4 linked regions of the Drosophila melanogaster genome follow. The protein of the gene in region 4 purifies or fractionates together with the protein of the main gene of each other region. This does not show direct contact. Each region holds a gene or a part of one and is shown on either strand. Other genes may lie near its edges.

What was found.
Region 1: the proteins of Taf5 (region 4) and Taf4 purify together in Drosophila melanogaster (affinity purification with western blotting; 3 studies listed by BioGRID). This does not show direct contact.
Region 2: the proteins of Taf5 (region 4) and Psc purify together in Drosophila melanogaster (affinity purification with western blotting, with the first as the bait; one study listed by BioGRID). This does not show direct contact.
Region 3: the proteins of Taf5 (region 4) and Tbp purify together in Drosophila melanogaster (affinity purification with western blotting; 4 studies listed by BioGRID). This does not show direct contact.

Annotation. Positions count from the first base shown.
Region 1 is NT_037436.4:16,111,601-16,116,270, reverse strand, and holds the start of Taf4 (TBP-associated factor 4), read right to left. Parts: upstream 3,060-4,670; 5' UTR 2,906-3,059; intron 2,482-2,905; exon of another isoform or gene 2,387-2,481; 5' UTR 2,130-2,386; intron 1,964-2,129; exon of another isoform or gene 1,960-1,963; 5' UTR 1,800-1,959; coding exon 1,428-1,799; intron 603-1,427; coding exon 441-602; intron 240-440; coding exon 1-239. Other genes in the region: Zn72D (Zinc-finger protein at 72D), read left to right, coding at 4,402-4,670. UniProt on the Drosophila melanogaster protein: TFIID is a multimeric protein complex that plays a central role in mediating promoter responses to various activators and repressors.
Region 2 is NT_033778.4:12,977,936-12,982,543, reverse strand, and holds the start of Psc (posterior sex combs), read left to right. Parts: upstream 1-1,549; 5' UTR 1,550-2,496; intron 2,497-4,322; 5' UTR 4,323-4,380; coding exon 4,381-4,608. UniProt on the Drosophila melanogaster protein: Polycomb group (PcG) protein. PcG proteins act by forming multiprotein complexes, which are required to maintain the transcriptionally repressive state of homeotic genes throughout development.
Region 3 is NT_033778.4:21,685,656-21,689,243, forward strand, and holds Tbp (TATA binding protein), read right to left. Parts: upstream 1,988-3,588; 5' UTR 1,798-1,987; coding exon 1,015-1,797; intron 951-1,014; coding exon 672-950; 3' UTR 537-671; downstream 1-536. Other genes in the region: eIF3k (eukaryotic translation initiation factor 3 subunit k), read left to right, coding at 1-455; BaraC (baramicin C), read right to left, coding at 2,449-2,735, 2,804-2,855; CG10307 (uncharacterized protein), read left to right, coding at 3,388-3,567. UniProt on the Drosophila melanogaster protein: General transcription factor that functions at the core of the DNA-binding multiprotein factor TFIID.
Region 4 is NT_033778.4:10,876,796-10,881,648, forward strand, and holds Taf5 (TBP-associated factor 5), read right to left. Parts: upstream 2,879-4,853; 5' UTR 2,811-2,878; coding exon 696-2,810; 3' UTR 517-695; downstream 1-516. Other genes in the region: nclb (no child left behind), read left to right, coding at 1-421; Pex6 (peroxin 6), read left to right, coding at 3,212-3,238, 3,533-4,045, 4,109-4,853. UniProt on the Drosophila melanogaster protein: TFIID is a multimeric protein complex that plays a central role in mediating promoter responses to various activators and repressors. May play a role in helping to anchor Taf4 within the TFIID complex.

The sequences.
Region 1 (4,670 bases), on a different chromosome or scaffold from region 4:
TGTTGTTGTTGTTGTTGGTATCTACTTACAGCTGCAGCCGGCACAGTTTGCAGACGGATCTGTGTGGTTGTGGGATGGTTTGTGGTGCTTGTCGTGTTGCTGTTATTGCTGGTGTTGGTTATAGTCTGTGTCACCGTCGGCGGACCCGTCGTCGTGCCCACGCGCAACAGCTGGAATCCGTTATCCGTCTTGACCAGCAATGCCGGGGTCTGACCCGTATTAAGTGTGCTTAAAGTTATCTAAAAGTAGAGAGAGAAGACAGAGAGACTCGGTTTTCATCTGCTGGAGCATGGTGTGTATGGTGTATGGTGTGAGTGAATGGTGGGCTGTGCACATGCGTGTTTGTGAGGAGCGTGGCTGGGTTAGGGAGCTCTGTGAGTTAGTAGGGAAGAACCCACCACAACAACCATAGTAATAGCAATATTATCCTTCATACTCACCGATGGACTCTGCGGTCTCACGCCCGCCATGTGGGAGTTGATCACCACGCGACTGAGCGGGTTGGTGGGCACATTCTTCTGCTGCTGCTGTGACGGCGCCTGTTGGCGCATGCCCACCACCACGCCAGCCGGCAGCATTGAATTGAGCAGCGGTTGACCGGCCTGGCAAATACGCAACATTATCATTAGTCTATCAATTCATCTCATCACATTTTCAAAGTCTATTTGGACCAAAGGATGCATTAAGAGGTTTTGCGGGATTCTAAATTAGCCTACATCATGCAGCAGTTGGCTCGGCAAAGGACCCCAATTAGTGCGGAAATAAGTTGTTTAACTGATTCTCTCTGTGCTAACCAAATTTGAAGGCGTATAATCTACTATATCTTGTTCTATTTAAAGCGAGCATTGAAAGCAATAGTTCTACAAATGTAATGGTTTGGATATTGGTGTAGAATAAGGTTTCTGTTGAACAAGTGCGTGTTTTTGAACAGTTGTTAGGGATTTGATCTTTGGGAAACTTTTCGGCATTGGGATAAAGTATTTCAAATTAAAGATATGTCTTTTATGGTGATTAAACTGCTTTAAGTTCTAATGAAGTGAATTGATATGACATTCGTAAAAAAAGAAATTAATTTTAAATAAAAGTACAAAAATGAGTGCAACAAACTCAGATATAAGTTTCAGATTTCAACTCAGATATAAGTTTCAGATTTCACATTAATGAATTAAGGATATTTTTTAAGCGTAAAATACGTTATCAAGCCTGGGACTAACCCCATTTGGATAAGGATATGGGAATTTCGGGCAGCGAGGTAGACAGATGAAAGCATAATAAAAGTATACAACCAAAGTGTGTGCGGCCACTACTATCCGATTCGAGCGAGGAATTGAGGGGGTTTTGATTGGGGATCAGATTTGGACGAAGTGATACGCCCGAGTTGCGATCGCCTAGCGCCCGAAGAGTGGGTTTAGCTTTAATATGGATACCTGATTGATGGTCTTGGTCATGGTTACGATTCCTGCTGGTGCACTTGAGACTAGACCCGCCGGCAGGGTGACAGCATGGTGGTTGGATTTAATAACTAGGGTTTGTGTTTGGGTGGCACCTACGGATTGCGTCTGCTGTTGCTGCTGTTGTTGCTGTTGCGACTGCTGCTGCTGTTGGACATGATGCACCTGCTGAAGTCCCTGATGCTGACCACCGATCCCCGCCTGGATCGTCTTGATGGTGGTGGTATTCGGTAGCTGGGCCGTGGAGATGACCGCGCCGGGATTGCCGGCTATGCTGATGGTGCCATTGGGCAGCGGCTGGCTGGTGAAGGTGATGCGATTGCCGGCAGCTGTCTGGCTGGTGTTCATCGTGCTGTGTGGTGTTTATGTTATTGGCGAGTGTGTTTCTCCTATTCCACTGACTTCTGTGTGTTGGTGTGGGCGAGCGATCCTGTTCCGATCAACTAGTTGCGCACATCCTGTGTTGGTGTTGGCGGAGTTGTTGCATGCTGTGCGCTCCAGAAGCGAACTGCAATGCAAGGGGAGGCGCTTTTAGTATTTATACAAGATTCGGCTCGAGGCGGTGGAGAAACAGGTAGGCGGTGGAGGTGCTACCTGACCGCCGGCTACCTGGCGGCCGTGCGCCATAAACCAGATGCTGCGTACACCTGGATGCCGCGCACAGGTAATCGCATTCACCTTGGCCAAAAAAGCGGGTGCTCCGCTGAATTGGTGCTGCGCTGGCTCACTCGCACTCGCCTTTGCCGTCACTGTCGTCGGCCTTTCTCCTGGCGCATCCGTTGCAGTCGTTGTCGCGTGTGTGTTATCTCGCTAATTCGCTGCCTTTTGTTTGCGCCGCTAAGCCTTTCTACACTTTTCCCGATCGGCGGGTTTTCCTGCGCACACACACACTCGCGCGTGCTCGCACGGACTGATTGTTGAGCACTGGAAGAATGCTTTATTTTGATTATTTTGATGTACAAAAAATTTGGCAGCGACGGTGCCAGAACGCCGCCATTTTCACGAATGCGCGTGCAAAGCGAAAATCGAGGCTGGTGGACGTTGCCAGATAGCGTGCGAAAAACACGTAACCAACGATCTGGCAATGCCGCTCGTTTATGCGGGTGGCGAGTGCGCAATATTCGTGAATGCACTAAATTTAAAAAAAAGTTCAACTCGAAAGTGGAGCACTTAATAATTGATGATTTCTATTAGGAAAAATTCATATTTTTCGAAAATCCGCATAAAAATATTTAAAACAAAAAGAAAACAAATGCATCTTGTACATGTCTCCAGTGGCAATATGGAGCATCGTGCCAGCCGTAGTATTAGTAATTTCTACTTTAGTGGCCAGCGGGTGGTGGCATAAACCCACGTCCGTGTCTGTGCGACTGTGTGCGTGTGTTTCAGTATAGGTTTTGTACAGCCTGCAATGTCGGGGGAAATTTTCTGGGCCCTGTGGCAGATGCACTCACTTCAATTCATTTTGCGTTCAAACTCGGTGCACTGGGGCGCATTTTAAACGATTTCCCGTTGCGTTTCTCTGGCGATTTAGCCGAAAACCGAGTAAATATTGTTTACGGACCGCCGAGGTACGGACGAGTTGTGCAGTGTGACCGTTGGCGACAATATCGTCGTGTTAAACGCGATACCGAATTAAAATACTAGAAAAGAAGTAGTGACTTGGATATCATGTCGATTTTTTATAGCCTTGTTGCGTACATTTTCAAAACCAAAAACGTTTGCTGGCATTTTGATGCCATCGGATTTTAGCCGCATACCAAATTAATTATATGCTCATTAGTTTTTATATGGGTAATAAGCCACAATTTTTAAGGATCAAAATAATTTATTTTAATACATTCGAATACGATACATTTTAAATCCTTTGAACTATTATTAGAGTACTGTTTAAAGCTGAATGTTAGGTAATTGAATAAATGAAGAATACGCTCAAAAATTAGAAACTACTAAAACTATTATTAGAGTACTGTTTAAAGCTGAATGTTAGGTAATTACAGAATTGAAGAAAATGCTCAAAAATGTTATTATTTTTTTATATTTAAACGCTATTTGCTCATATACTTAAATCATATATATATTCAAACGAAGGAGTAGTACTTTGTAACGGTCAAACAATCGATAGTTCCACTTTGATACCGAACTACATGCCCCACCACCAACGTGATGGTATTTTTGTTAGTTTTCGGTATCTTTGAAATGCTAAACTTCAGCACAACGGGCAAAATAATTCTGTAGAGCGAGTTAAATACATATCGTACAAATAGCGGTCTTAATAAAATAGACCATACCAATTTTAATATTAAACAAATTCCGTTAAATAAGCAACATATATAGTGTAATGGTATATTTTCCAAAAACTTCCAAAAATAAAAAGTGGTATTTGTTTCAAGTCGGGCTCAACATAGTATGATTATCCGATTACGCTGCGGTCACACTAGTACCGGCCCATAGAGACGGAAGAAAAATTTTATTTAACCGATTTCAGGTAATTGCCATTTGCATTAACTGTTTTTTAACCATGCACAACTAGGGCTAAAATGCCGTTGGAAAAGAGATCGCCACGTGTGCTCACTCGCATGTGGGCCAGACACGCGAAAAGTGCGTCCAAAGCTGCGGGGTAAAAATCGATAGAGAAAAGCAGATGAAAAACGGATGGGAAAGTGGTGGGGGGAGCTCCTTTCTCAACATGACGTGACTAAGACCACTTTGCTTTTACAGCTATAAACAGGCTATTACTCGGAAAGCACATATAAATTCCCGAATAAATCCGCATTCGAAGTCCCATAAATATTGACAGTCAGTCGGATAGGACAGCTAATGTAAGTAGAGCACTTGGTGGGGATGGGGGCAGGTCCAAAATGCAAATGCAAATGCCAATGGTAAACTAGTAAACCGCAGACAGATTGTCAAACAAATTCGATTTTCGTAATTGCAGCGCACCGCGACAATGGCCAACAACAACTACGCCGGGTTTAACTACGGCGGCACCCAGTACAATACGGGCCAAGTCTCGTACCCGGCGGTAACCAATGCCACCTACGCGAATGCGGCCGCCTATCAGAATGCCGCTGTGGCCGCCGGACAGGGTGGTTATGGCGGAGCAGCAGGAGCGGGCGCTGGCGCCACCTCTGGCCCTGGGGCGGGGGGTTATGGTGGCTACGGCGACTATCGAAGTGCCATGCAATACGACGCCACCAAGACATTCTATCAGCAGTC
Region 2 (4,608 bases), 2.1 Mb from region 4:
TTACTGGAGTGATTACAAAAAAAAAACAAATCCCTGCCTAAAACACCACTTAAATTAAAATTCATTGGGGTTTTTTGACCATCACTATTGTGAAAGATATGATAACAGAATGCAATTCTATTATGATTCCGTAAAAGTTCACGCAAAGACAATTCTTGAGTGCATATTTTGTCTAGACGATTCATACAAAAGGCTAAAAATAGACCAAAAAGCACATTTTCAATAAAATGCAAGCTTTCGACATAAGGTCCGATCGGTAAACAATTTTATAGTAACATGAACTTAAAAAAAAGTTGGAAACAAACTAAGACAAAACAAAAATATTTGTTGATTGAAAAATATAATAACATTTAAATGTTATGTATTCAATGATAATTTTAGTTGTTTGGCTTGAAGGGTACTTTTACAATTGTGTACTTATCAAACTTTTAAATATAAAATTTTAATATTTTTACAGTTTTAATATACTCTAAGATTACTACTGTATTTCTTCTATGAGAATAAAAATCAATCTTTATTATTGTTTGGGATGAAACTTTAAAAACATTTTGTAATTTATTAAGGCTAGTTTAAGAAATGGTTGAAATATAAGAATAAGAAATATAATAAGAAATATATTAATTTAAAACCTCCTGACATCTCCGATTTTACTGTGGGCAAACCAATCAATAAAAGTATTATAATAGAATGGAAAATGAATAAGAAATTAAAAAATTTTAAAAAGAAGTTTTCCCTGCAATAAAACTGAAAGAAAAAATCTTTAGACTTTTTGATCTGCGAACTTCGAAGACTTCAGAATAGTATTGGGTGAGTACGCTACTATTTAGAGGATAGGATCATTATAAATAAAAATATGCAAAATAAACTCTTAACTCCCACGGCAATGATAATAATGGTGTTAATTTGCATGGAAAGTATCGTCATGGTACGGTTCCTTCGTTCGCAATTTATCCGTTAGATCTGCATTGTTACGTTACGTAGAGCAGTCTAACGGTTAATTCGCCAAGACGGAAACGAAGTTGCTGCTTTTATTGTTGTTGGCTGCCACTGATTGGAGAGCTCTTTCGCGCTCACATTGTGGTTGTTGCTGTTGCTGCCACTTCTGTGGGGGAAAAAAGGAAAAGGCAAGGGAAAAGAAGCAAAAAGCATTTCCAATTTGGAGGCATTAAATAGCGTGGGAGCGAGAGGGGTGCAGATATAGACGTACGCCTACGTGCAAATATGCGATTTCTGCTGACGGAAATTGCAAGTTGCGATTACATAGGCACTCATTCTACCTTGATTGCACATGGTCTTATGTATTCCGAAGTGTTTGCAGATGGATAAGAGCCCGTAAGAGTTGTAAAACCTCTGCCATTTATGTGCAGCCCTTTGTTCTCTATCCCCCTCCCTCTTCAATTTTCCGCTTGTACATACAGAAACGAACAAAGAAACGGCTGGCAAAGCAAAAGAAAAGAGCCAAACGCCGACGTCAATGTCGGCGTCGACGCAGGCAGCGGCAGCGACCGACGATGTGGCGACCGAAAAACAGAGTCAGCGAAGAGCGCCTGTTTTAGTGCAACACCAACATTCAACGAGAGCGGTTCGTCGACGCTGTGCGGAAAGATTACAGAGCGAACGAGAGAGACCGAGCCAGAGCGACGACGCCCCGCAACGAGAACAACAAAAGAGCCGAGTGCGCGTGCAAGAGAGATAGCTGACTTGTTGCCCAGTGAGAGGCCGGCGAGAGCGAGACGGACGATCAGTGTGCGAGCGACGAAAAAGAAAACAAAGATACTCGCCCAGAGCAGTTGGCTACCTGTCTTTGGCCTGGTATATAAGTGTGTGTATGCGAGAGAGAGTAAATAGCGGGCAACGCAGCAGTACATAAACGAAAAGCAGCGTGGTCGTTAGTCGAACAAAAACTCTCAAAGCGAACGGACGTGTGCGGTCGGTTGTTTCGATACTCCTGCTTTATCGCTATCCAAACAGAGTGAAGCGACCACTATAAATAACGAAACAAGAAACATGTGTTTATATTACAACCAGAGCTCAAAGCTTCAGTTGCATAATAATAATAATAATAAAAAAGCAATCTGAAGCCAATTTCCTTTGTGTGACAAATGCCGTAGCAGCAACAACAGAAGCACAACACAACTACGTCTGCTGGCTTATGTACGTCGCGCGCGCTTGTGTGTGTGTGGGGCAGAAAACATAGAGCAAAGCATAATACACAATAAAGGTGCCCGCGAAAGCAGAGCAGCCGAAAGTGCCAGCGCGTGTTGGTGTGGTTTGAATGTGCAGGCGAAGTGAAGAAGTAGAAAGAAAATAAAATAAAATAAAAGTGAAGTGGAGCATAGTGAAGAAAGAGAAGCAGAAACGCTGACTCAAAACTCAAGTGTGGATTATTTACTTGGATTATTCCTCTTGCCATTGGATTATTTATGTATACAAGGCGACCACCGCGATGCCAATTAACTGGCTGGATTATTAGTGGATTAAAGATTGGATACAAAGGTACATGATTGGCGTTAATCAACACTGCTCTCGACCGGCAGCTGTTGCGCTCTCCCCCCACCAACCACAGCCCCTCTTCTGTTTTCTCTTGATGACCCCCTCTCTTTCTTTCTCCTTTTGTCCCAGCAAGTAAGAATTTCGATTGGACACACGGCAATTGAAAAAGGGGAGCATGAGAATATGAGCGTGTGTGACTGATTTTTTTTTACTGCTCTTTCATTTAGCAACGTTTTTTGTTTTATGTTTATGTACTTGTTTCTTTGAATGAAAGCAATATGCGAGTGTGTGTGTGTGCGTGCTTGTGAAAGAGGAGATAAAGCCGCAGTCTCGGTTCTGCATTCTCCGAATTTTCGCTGGGTTGTTGTTTTTTCTGTTCCCTGTCACAGTCTCGCGTTTCCCTTCTTTCAACATCCCTTCGCATCCCTACCCACACACACACACACAAACATACGCGAGCATATAAACACACGCACACCACACACAAATAAGAAATTCCGCTGCTTTTTTTTTTATTATCCTTTTCATGTTGGTACTCACTCACATTTTTTTGCGCGCGCGAGAATCCCTGAGACTTTAAACACGGCAATGGAATGGGTTCGGTAAAATAAGAAGGGAAAGGGCCAACAGAAGGGTTCCTCTTTTCGCACAGCACTTAAAAGTGATGTAAAAAGGATTTAAAGAGGCCTGCTGGCAATTTCTTTTCGCCCTCTCCCATATACAGTCATTCATATTCCATTGCCATATTTTCTGTACACAAATATAATTTTCCATATTCTGTGTGCCCCCGGAGTTGAAAAAGTTTTTCCGAAAAGTTTACCGTATGTACCTTGACTTTTTACTGGCGCGTTGATGCAAAAACAACTTGAAGTTGTTTGAAATACACATTTTGTTCGACGCCCCCACAGATCCGCCCCCCACTTTCGATGTACTTGGCATCTGGTTAAAACTCCACTCGGCACTCTTCACTCTCCCCCCTCCACCCTTCCATCCATAATAAAACAAAGCACCCCTGTGCAACTCTGCTCCCCCCTCTTTTGATCCCAAAAGTGCTGTGCATTTCAATATATTCGACGTAGGCATTCCCATGGCAACTACAACATCCATTATCGAGGGCCCCCACATCCATCGACTGATTGCAAATAATAGCTGCCAGATTGCGACTCCTTTCTGTCTACTGCTCAAGTCCCACAAGCTTTAATTTGGGACATCATGTCTGAGTTAAATGCATTTTGATTTCTTTGAGCTAAAGCGTTCTCTAACAAATTAAAGTCAAAGCATATTCACTAAACTCTAAAAATTGAAATGATCTTTAAGTTTCGATGTTCATGCAACAACATATTTGTTTATTTTACTTAATAAGTTCTTGTCTTTGATCATTTATATTGAGTCAGCGTACTTGGCAACATCATTAAAATATTTTCTGAACAGATCTCTTATGACGATCACTGTAGAAACTTTATCACCATTTCAACTATATTAAAACTGATTCACGAAGAATGATGCAAAAGAGAAGATTGCAGTGAGGAAAAATACGATCCCACCGAGTTCATTAACTCTACCAGTTTTCCCAGAAAGTGTATATTTCCCTTGCCTCCATTATTCTATCGTAAACAGCGAGGGGCGAGTGGAGCTTTAAGCTTCTTCGCGCACCAACGAGGCTATACCGATATAGCTTCGGCTTATTGCTTTCTGCGGCTCAGCGTCTGATTTATTTATAATCTTCAGCACGCTCTCTTCTCGAGTCGATTTACATTTTCCATTTCACATTTTCCATGCGCTCCTTTATTCGCATTTAATTTTAACTTCTGGCATTATCTATTTTGCAGATTGACGCTTGTGCGAAAAACAAAAGCGAATTTTTAGCGGCGAGAGTGTATTATTACTATGATGACGCCAGAATCGAAAGCAATACAGCCGGCAGCAGCAACAACAAAGCAAACAGCAGAAGCAACAGCAACAACAACAATGGCTCACACACAACAAAAGTCGCAGTTGTCAACGTTGGCGAAAACAACAACGACAACGGCAACGAATAAGGCGGCCAAAAGCGTTGTCAGCAATGCAAATAGCAGTGGCAACAATTCGAGCAAAAAGCTGGCTTTGTCTCAGTCT
Region 3 (3,588 bases), about 11 Mb from region 4:
CCATTCTGCTGAAGTCACTGACCAGCCTGCCGCACACGGATTTCGTGATGGCCAAGTGCCTGCTGCTGCCCCAGCAGATGAAGGACGAGAATGTGCAGACAATCATCGACCTCGCCGACATACTGGAGCGGGCGGACTTCACCCTCTTCTGGCAGCGGGCCGAGGTGAACCGCAACATGTTCCGCCACATCACCGGCTTCCACGATTCAATTCGCAAGTTCGTCTCGCATGTGGTGGGCACCACATTCCAGACAATTCGCAAGGACCTGCTTAAGGAGCTGCTCGGCGGCATCGAGGACTCGACGCTGGAGAGCTGGATCAAGCGCAATGGCTGGAAGAACCAGGGCCAGGGACTCGTCATCGTGGCCATGCAGGACGACAAAATCAAGACGAAGAACATTACGGAGAAGATCGAGTTCGACAACGTGGGCGCCCTGATGGCCCAGTGCCTGTAGGAACCTCATTCGCGTTCATAGTCCTTGTCTAAATTTTTACGAATAGTAATTAACGGAAAAAAAATAATAATAAAAGCCTGTCCGTACAGCTAAATTACTTTGTGGTTTATTCTCGATCGGAGCTGCTCGCCAGGCTGCTCCCACTCATATGATCAGACTTCCAGAACTACCGACCTTAAAACGTACACGTACAGAACTAATAAAGCGCTATCCTATTTATGACTGCTTCTTGAACTTCTTTAAAATGGGGAATATCTTGTCGAAGGCATCGTAGATCTCCTGCCGCACCTTTGCTCCAGTGAGCACCACCTTTCCGGACACGAAGATGAGGAGCACGATTCGAGGTCGCACCATACGATAGATTAAGCCGGGAAATAGCTCAGGCTCGTAGCTGCTGAAGTTGCAATGGGTCAGCACCAGGCCTTCCAAGCGTATGGGGAACTTGACATCGCAGGAGCCGACCATGTTTTGAATCTTAAAGTCGAGGAACTTTGCCTGCGGGAGAGAAAGCGTTAGAGATTCGCCGGGAAGAGAAAGGAAATGTAAAGTCTTGTCTTACAGGGAAACCGAGCTTTTGGATGATGCGCGCATACTTTCTCGCTGCCAGTCTGGAGTCGTCCTCACTCTTTGCCCCTGTGCACACCATCTTGCCGGAGCTGAAAATAAGGGCGGTGGTCCGGGGCTCTCGGATTCGCATAATCACAGCCGCAAATCGCTTAGGATTGTACTCGGCGTTTCTCGCATGCAATGCTATTTTCTTGAGGTCCAGTTTGCAGCACAGATTAACCGTGGACACGATGTTCTGAAGTTGTGGCACAATACCGGGATCAGCGGAACCTGGTGTGGCTGGTGTCATCGGCGTGGAGGGGCCCATCGTCTGGTGGATGTTGCTCAGGGCATCTCCGCCACCTCCGGCCCCCGAACCGCCCACACTCCGCTCACTCATGGGCATCATGTGGGCCATCATGCTCTGCGGCGTCTGCGGCTGCATCATGGACTGCGGAGTGCTCCCACCGCCGCCGGGCGCCTGACTCTGGAGCTGCTGTTGCTGCTGCTGCTGCTGATAGGAGGCCGATGGCTGGTAACTCTGCATTTGTTTGTGCGCCAGCGGGAGCGATGGTTCGTGGCCAAAGAGACCTGATCCCCCACTGGCGTCCGACTGCTGTTGCTGCTGCTGGTGCTGCACGGAACTGGAACCGGGTGCCGGCATCAACGAATCCGGCTGCGATACAGCCGGAGGATGGTACACAGGATTGGCCACTATCTGCTGGTCCGCTTCCATCTGGTGGAGCGGCGTTCCGATGCTCGGAATCGAGAAGTTGGGGCTTAGCATTTGGTCCATCTTACAGATGGTTTATTGTGGACTCCGGTGAATTTTTCAGTGACTCAATTCAAGATTGCTGAACGGGCTCAACTTTGGGTTTTAATTGCATACCCACAGAGCGGGAAATTAATTTAATAGTAATAATAATAATAATGTAATGCAACCGCGTTCGTCGTTGTACCTGTGGCTCGTTTTGTGAGAATGGCAAAGTCAGCGCTGCATTTTGCCGCAACTATCGATAGCTGGCTGGGTCTTACGTTTATCGTTACGTTCTTAGCATTTAAGTATTTCATTGAAAATATGTATGAAAATAATTATAACAATAATTATCTTTGATTGTATTTTAATGTTTAGTTAAAAATCACACTTCAACGTTTCAAATATTTCTTATACGTTAAATCTCTCCCTTACGTTGTTGCCAATCGATAACTAAAATGGCGCACTTTTCAAAAGAATCAAGTATACTTTGTTGTACTTCTGTTTAATAGCTAAATAATTTGTGTATAAGGTGAACAAAAGAAATAGCGAATAAATAATAGTGCATAATACTTAGAAGGAAAATGGTTATTCTCATCTATGCAGTTTCAGCAATAGATTTTCGTGGGCGTGAACTGAAAAACGATGTGTTAAAAATTAATTAATTGGAACTTTTGCACTTGGAAAGTGCAATTAAATGGTTATTAAACTAATTAGAAAAATGAGAACGCCGCCCATGCTGAAACCGAAGGTTGAATAGGCCAAACTTGTGACAGTTGCCGTTGAGGAATGGGTGTAAGTATTTCCGTGCTCATCGGTGTAGGAATGCTGCCCACTTGAGGGTGAGTTTTGGAACGTTCCTCCCATTTCGGGCACTGTGTAGGGTCCTTCGTTCTGACCCCGTATGTAAATGCCGTTTCCAGGTGTGCCGAACTCATGGGGACCATTTCTTCCATCATAATTCTGCTGCGCATTTGTCACTGGAGAAAAATAGAGAGAGAGTGTTGAATGGATGTGGCGGTTCTAGTGGTTCCCACACTTGACTTACCGGCAAACAACAGCGTGCTCACTATGAAAACAAGTAAAGTACACGATCTCATGATGCAGTTTCCAGTCACTGAGCTCAATTTCAACTGAGAGCGGCTCGGTAATTTACAATCTATTTATATAAACCGATAGAAAGACGAGCTTTTTGCCAATTAGCAGCTGAGAATGGGTAATGTCAAATGTTGAGCTTTCCTTGTGCGACAAACATTACAAGCGACAATGTACCAATTTTAAAATAGAACTACCCTATTGCCAATATCTAGCATTTTGCGCATGCCTTTACCCAGGAAATGAAATTTTTAATTTTAGTTCATCAGCTTGGGAAGAGAAGGCAGGCAAAAGAGAGTGCAGCAAATAGAGATTTTTGTGCATATATAGACTCCGAGAATCGTTATATAACATGCACTCAAAACAAACGAAAAAACGCGCAAATCGGGCGACAGTTCGAAACTACAAAAGACAAGGCCTGAAAACTAAGCTACTAGCGCCAAAAACAGAGTAGGTTTTCCAAAGAGTGTGAAATAGTTTGGAACCCAAGACAACCAAATTCAAGTGCTGCAGAAGTAAACACTTAATAAGGGCGACATGGAGAAGGTTTGTCAGTTTTTCCGCAACAACTACGTGCTGGCCAATTGCGAGGATGCCATATACAAAAAGGCATTCTCCCTGAATCTGTCCCACTACCAAATCTCCGACGTTCCGGGCATCATAGAGAAGTGCGAGACGCTGATGAAGCTGTTCCTCAACCAAAACAAGCTAACAAAGGTGGCACCTGGTGCACAAGAT
Region 4 (4,853 bases):
GAAAGTTGACGGTGAAGTGGAGAAGGTCCTGTGGCATCCCACACAGACCGACTACTTCATCGTGGGCACCAACGATGGCACCTTGCATTACGCCGACAAACGTTCTCCTGGACAACTGCTGTGGTCCGTAAAGGCCCACAACGAGGAAATCTCCGGTGTGTGCTTCAACAACCAGAAGCCTAATCTGCTGACCTCCACCTCCACGGAGGGCACCCTAAAGGTGTGGAACTTTGATGGCACAGAGGCAAAGCACGTCTACGAGCACGAGTTCAACATGGGTCGCTTGCAGTGCATGCGCCAGTGCCCCGAGGATCCCTACACCCTGGCCTTCGGCGGAGAGAAGCCTCCGCGCTGTGCGATCTTTAACATCAAGAACTCGATAGCCGTGCGCCGAACGTTTGGAATCCCTGATGCAGAGTAGGCAAATCGTACAGCTACGTATTTATCTGTGTATATGCTTTATATGACTTTTAAATAAATATGAATTATATATAAGAACCTTAATGATTGACTTTTATATTAATTAAAATTTATTGATAACTTGCGCATATATGCACTTTACACTTTTATGCTTAAACAACTAATCGACATTTCAGGGGGGATGGGTCACAAACGAAATACAAAACATTAATCCTAAACATTCCGAGCATTCCTTAACACTACATTACGTATACCAAATAAGCTTATCTGTGCTCCTAACTCTTGAATAGACCCACGCACATCAGGAGATTTCGGCGCGTAAAGTGCAGGCTGACAAATGGCGAGTTCTTGCTGGGGAAAGTACGCATGAGGTAGACGTCCTCGTCGTTCTCATCCTGATGGTGCGACACAGTGATGTGATTGCTGATATAGTCTTCGGTAACCTTGTGAAAGTCCCACAGAGTTAGATTGTTATCCAAGCCGGCTGCAGCCAGGACTGTTCCATCGCGACTAAAGGTGATCGTGGTCACAGTGCTAGTGTGCCTCAACAGGGTGGTGACCAGGGATCCGTTCGACAGATCCCAGATGATGATATTGTGATCTACTGAACCCGAGGCCAGATACCGGCCGCAGGCGGAGAAGGCCAGAGAACTCACCGATCCCTTGTGGCCCGTCATCAGGCGTACCGACTGACCGGTCATGTTGTCCCACAGGCGTACCGTGCGATCGCTAGAACCGGTGGCCACATAATTGGAATTGGGATGAAATTGTACACAATCCACGTCCGACAAGTGACCCACGAATACGCGCAACGCTTGATTGGAATCCGTGGCCCACAGACGAGCAGTTTTGTCGTACGAACAAGAAACAAAATAGTAGCCATGCGGCGCAAAGCGAACATCCCACACCGGGTAAACGTGCCCGCGGTAGGTGACTACGCAGGACCAGGTGAGCAGAGACCACAGCCTTATGGTGCTGTCCTCGGAACATGAGAGCAACAGGTTCATCTCGGGGGCAAAGGCACAGCGGTATACGGGTCCGGTGTGACCCATTAAGCTCCTGGTTACCTCACCACTTCGGTCATCCAGCATACGCACATTGATATCCGCCGATTCCTTGTCCAGTTCGCGAAGGGAATCTGCATCCTTCAGCGTACGCAGCTTCGCGGGCGTCAATGACCAAATCCTCACGCTAGAATCGCCAAATCCACAGGCCAACATCGTGGAATCGTCTGAAATCTCGGCACAGGTTACGCCCTGATGGGAATTAAGCACCGTGTAGAAGACGGCAGAGGGCAGTTGATCCTTGCTGAGGGCTAAACGCTTGCTGGCTTCCCTGAGAGCCTTAAGCTTTAGCAACTTGTCCGAATCCTTCAGTTCCGGCAGGGGAATTCTGTCGATGGATGGAGCATTCGGATCCGACTTGGACTTTTTCGACAGCAGGGGATCCTTTTTTGGCTTTTTCTTTTTCGGACGATCCGGGGCATCCGGATCATCGTCCTCCTCCTCTGGTGCCGGCGCTGGAGTGGTCAGAGTCTGAAAGTCCACCTCCTTGAGCAGTCCGTAGTACACCCGCATTTTGTTGTCCTGTCGCTTGGCCTCTCCGAGGTGCGAGCCCGCGGTGGCGACGCACTGCAGCTTGTTGCGCGCCATGCCCTCGTATGTGTCGAAATGCAAGTACTTGGAAACAATATCTGCCACCACTTCCTGCCGGCGATCCTGAATGTGTCGCTTGAACAGAGAGTGCGAGTCCCTGGACATGCGAATGACAAACTTATCCTGCTCCATGGCTACTACGAGGTCATTCTCCAGCAGCTCCTCGGGCTTAGACAGCAAAAGAAGGTTGAAAAGACCCTCTATGTAGTAGCCGTCGAGATCGCATTTGTACTTCTCAATGAATTCTTTGGCCTTCTCCCTTAGTCCACTGGCGAGGATCTTGAAGTAGATCTGCACCAGAATTGGGTACAGAACCATGGACAGCTCATGCTTGTATATGTCCAGGGAGTCCTCAACGAAAGTGCGCAGCTCCTTGTATGCCTGCTCATAGTGCTGAGCATCAAAGCTGTCGTCGTCGATGAACTTGGCCAGTTCCTCTGCAGCATTGGCCTCCGTCACCGCGGACTGTTTATGACCCTGCGCCGGAGATTGGACATGTTTCCGCTCCCGGTTGGCATCGCCAGCTCCCAAAACTGCGCCCAGCACCTGCTGAACATCACTTTCGCTGATTTCCGACAATTCCACACTGCTCACATTCGCCTCTTGGCAGAGCAGCTCCTCAGTGCTCTTCAGCTGGTACTTTTTGATGAGTTTCAGCAGGCACAGCAGCTCACGCTTGTCGTGGGACAATTGAGTACCGTTTCCCCCGTTTATATTGCTCACTTCCAGGCTCATTTTCGCGGAAAATTGAAATATATGGAACTTGTGTACTATTTTGTTATGCGTGGAAAAGTGTGACCAGGTTGGCATCGGTTGAAAACGGCCAAGTGGAGAATGAAATATACTAAAATGCACCAAGTACAGTCAAAATATACAGTAGCCACTAGCGAAGACGGATTCTAAAAATAAATTGTATTAATACATTATAAATTATATCTTTTTGCCAATTTTTGGAATTACTTAAAATATAATGACATATTTCATTCTTTCATTTTACTACAAAATTAATATTTAACTTTTATGCAGGTCAAAGAAATTATTTGAAGATGTGCTTATAAAGGTCTTACTGTGGACAGCTGACTGAATACTTTTAGTATTTTTTGAGCAAATATCTTACCAGAATCAAAACATTCGTAATGAAGAGGAGAGTAATTGTGAAAAAGGTAAAATACAAAGTAACTGGCCAAATAAACAAGCTAATTTTTATAGCAGAGGGTAATAATTTGCTGTGCATTAACAGAATTAACTTGCCATTGCATATTTCAGTGTATTTGTCTGGCGCCTATCCCCCAACTCCTTGAACTTTGACACCGCCTCCTCGAAATTAACCCTTGTACTCGTGCTTTCTGTTGTGTTTAGTCCATATTTATTGTAAAAAATGAATGAAAATGATGATGCGGTAGGTCCATATGTAACATTTAAGCCATATTAGCTAATATCGTGATCAATTCCCGCAGAAAAAAGTCGTCGGCAAGCGGAATTCGGTGTCGTTCGATCAACAAGATCCAGGACAGCCGAGATTTAGCTTCTCTGGGAGAGTACAGGAGCTAGTCGAGGGCTACAATTCGGCCATACAGCTGCTGGCGCCCAAGTGGCCCTGGTTCCTCTACCCCGGATATCTGACATACGCCGTATACTGGCGTTACGCCAAATATTACAAGGGCAAGTTTCTGCTGACCCCCATTCCGAACCGCCTCTACGATCTGCTGATCAAGAACGAGCAGATTAAGTCGGAGCACCTGGTGTTCGCCAGTCAGGAGGTGTACGAAAACTATGCGGAATCGCCGGACGTCAACTTTGTCAACTTGGTTATCCGCGGCAGGAGGGTAAGAATCGGTAAGCCGCTAGCTTCAGACGAAGGAAATATGACCCAAACGGTTATCAAGCAAATGCTCCAGGAGGCGCCGCATACGATTGTGGCCCAGATCTTGCCGGCTGCACAGTGCCAACCCAATTGTCTGTACGTTCAGGTGGGTATCTAGTTCTAAATAAATGGAATATTTTCTATAATTCTACATCGTGTAAAATTTCAGGAGAACTTCTACGGCAACATATTGGATCGCTTTCAAATCCGCTCCAACTGCTGGGTGCAGGTAGAGCATTTTGCCGATGAGCAGACAATACCTGGAATAGCAACCAAAGCACATGTGTACTTAGTCGCAGATCCCCATGAACTTCCCGCCGAACTGACAGAGGTCATCCTGAGCAACTATTTCAATACACCTCGACTCATGCATCGTGGACATACCTACCGCATCGAGGTGAACGCAGAGTTGGTGGGCACTGCGACTTATGCCCACTATTACCTGATATTCGCTCACCTACGCCACGTCCACCTAAAGTGTATTCACCTGGAGACAAAGGGCAGCGAGTTCGAGCTGCAAGCGATTGTTGCCAAAAACTTTAGCAACCTTGTTCAAGTGCCTGCATCTCACAGTTTCCTGCCTCGTCAAGTGCTTGACAGCATGGCCATCGTTGAGAACTATCCAAGTGGACTTCGAAAGCCCTATAAGCTGTTGCGCTCCTCAGTAGATGCTTTCCTGCCAAAAAAGTCCGCCTGCCTGTCGTCAAAGCACATATTTCCTGTGTTCCTCCTGCAAGGCGAGCGAGGATCGGGCAAATCAAAGCTTGTGAGCGCCGTAGCCCAAGAGTTGGGGATGCATATTTACGGAGCAGATTGCGCAGAGATCGTTTCGCAAGTTCCCTCCCACACGGAGATGAAGCTAAAAGCCGTATTTGCCAAGAGCCAAGTTTGTGAACCGCTTATGATTTGCTTCC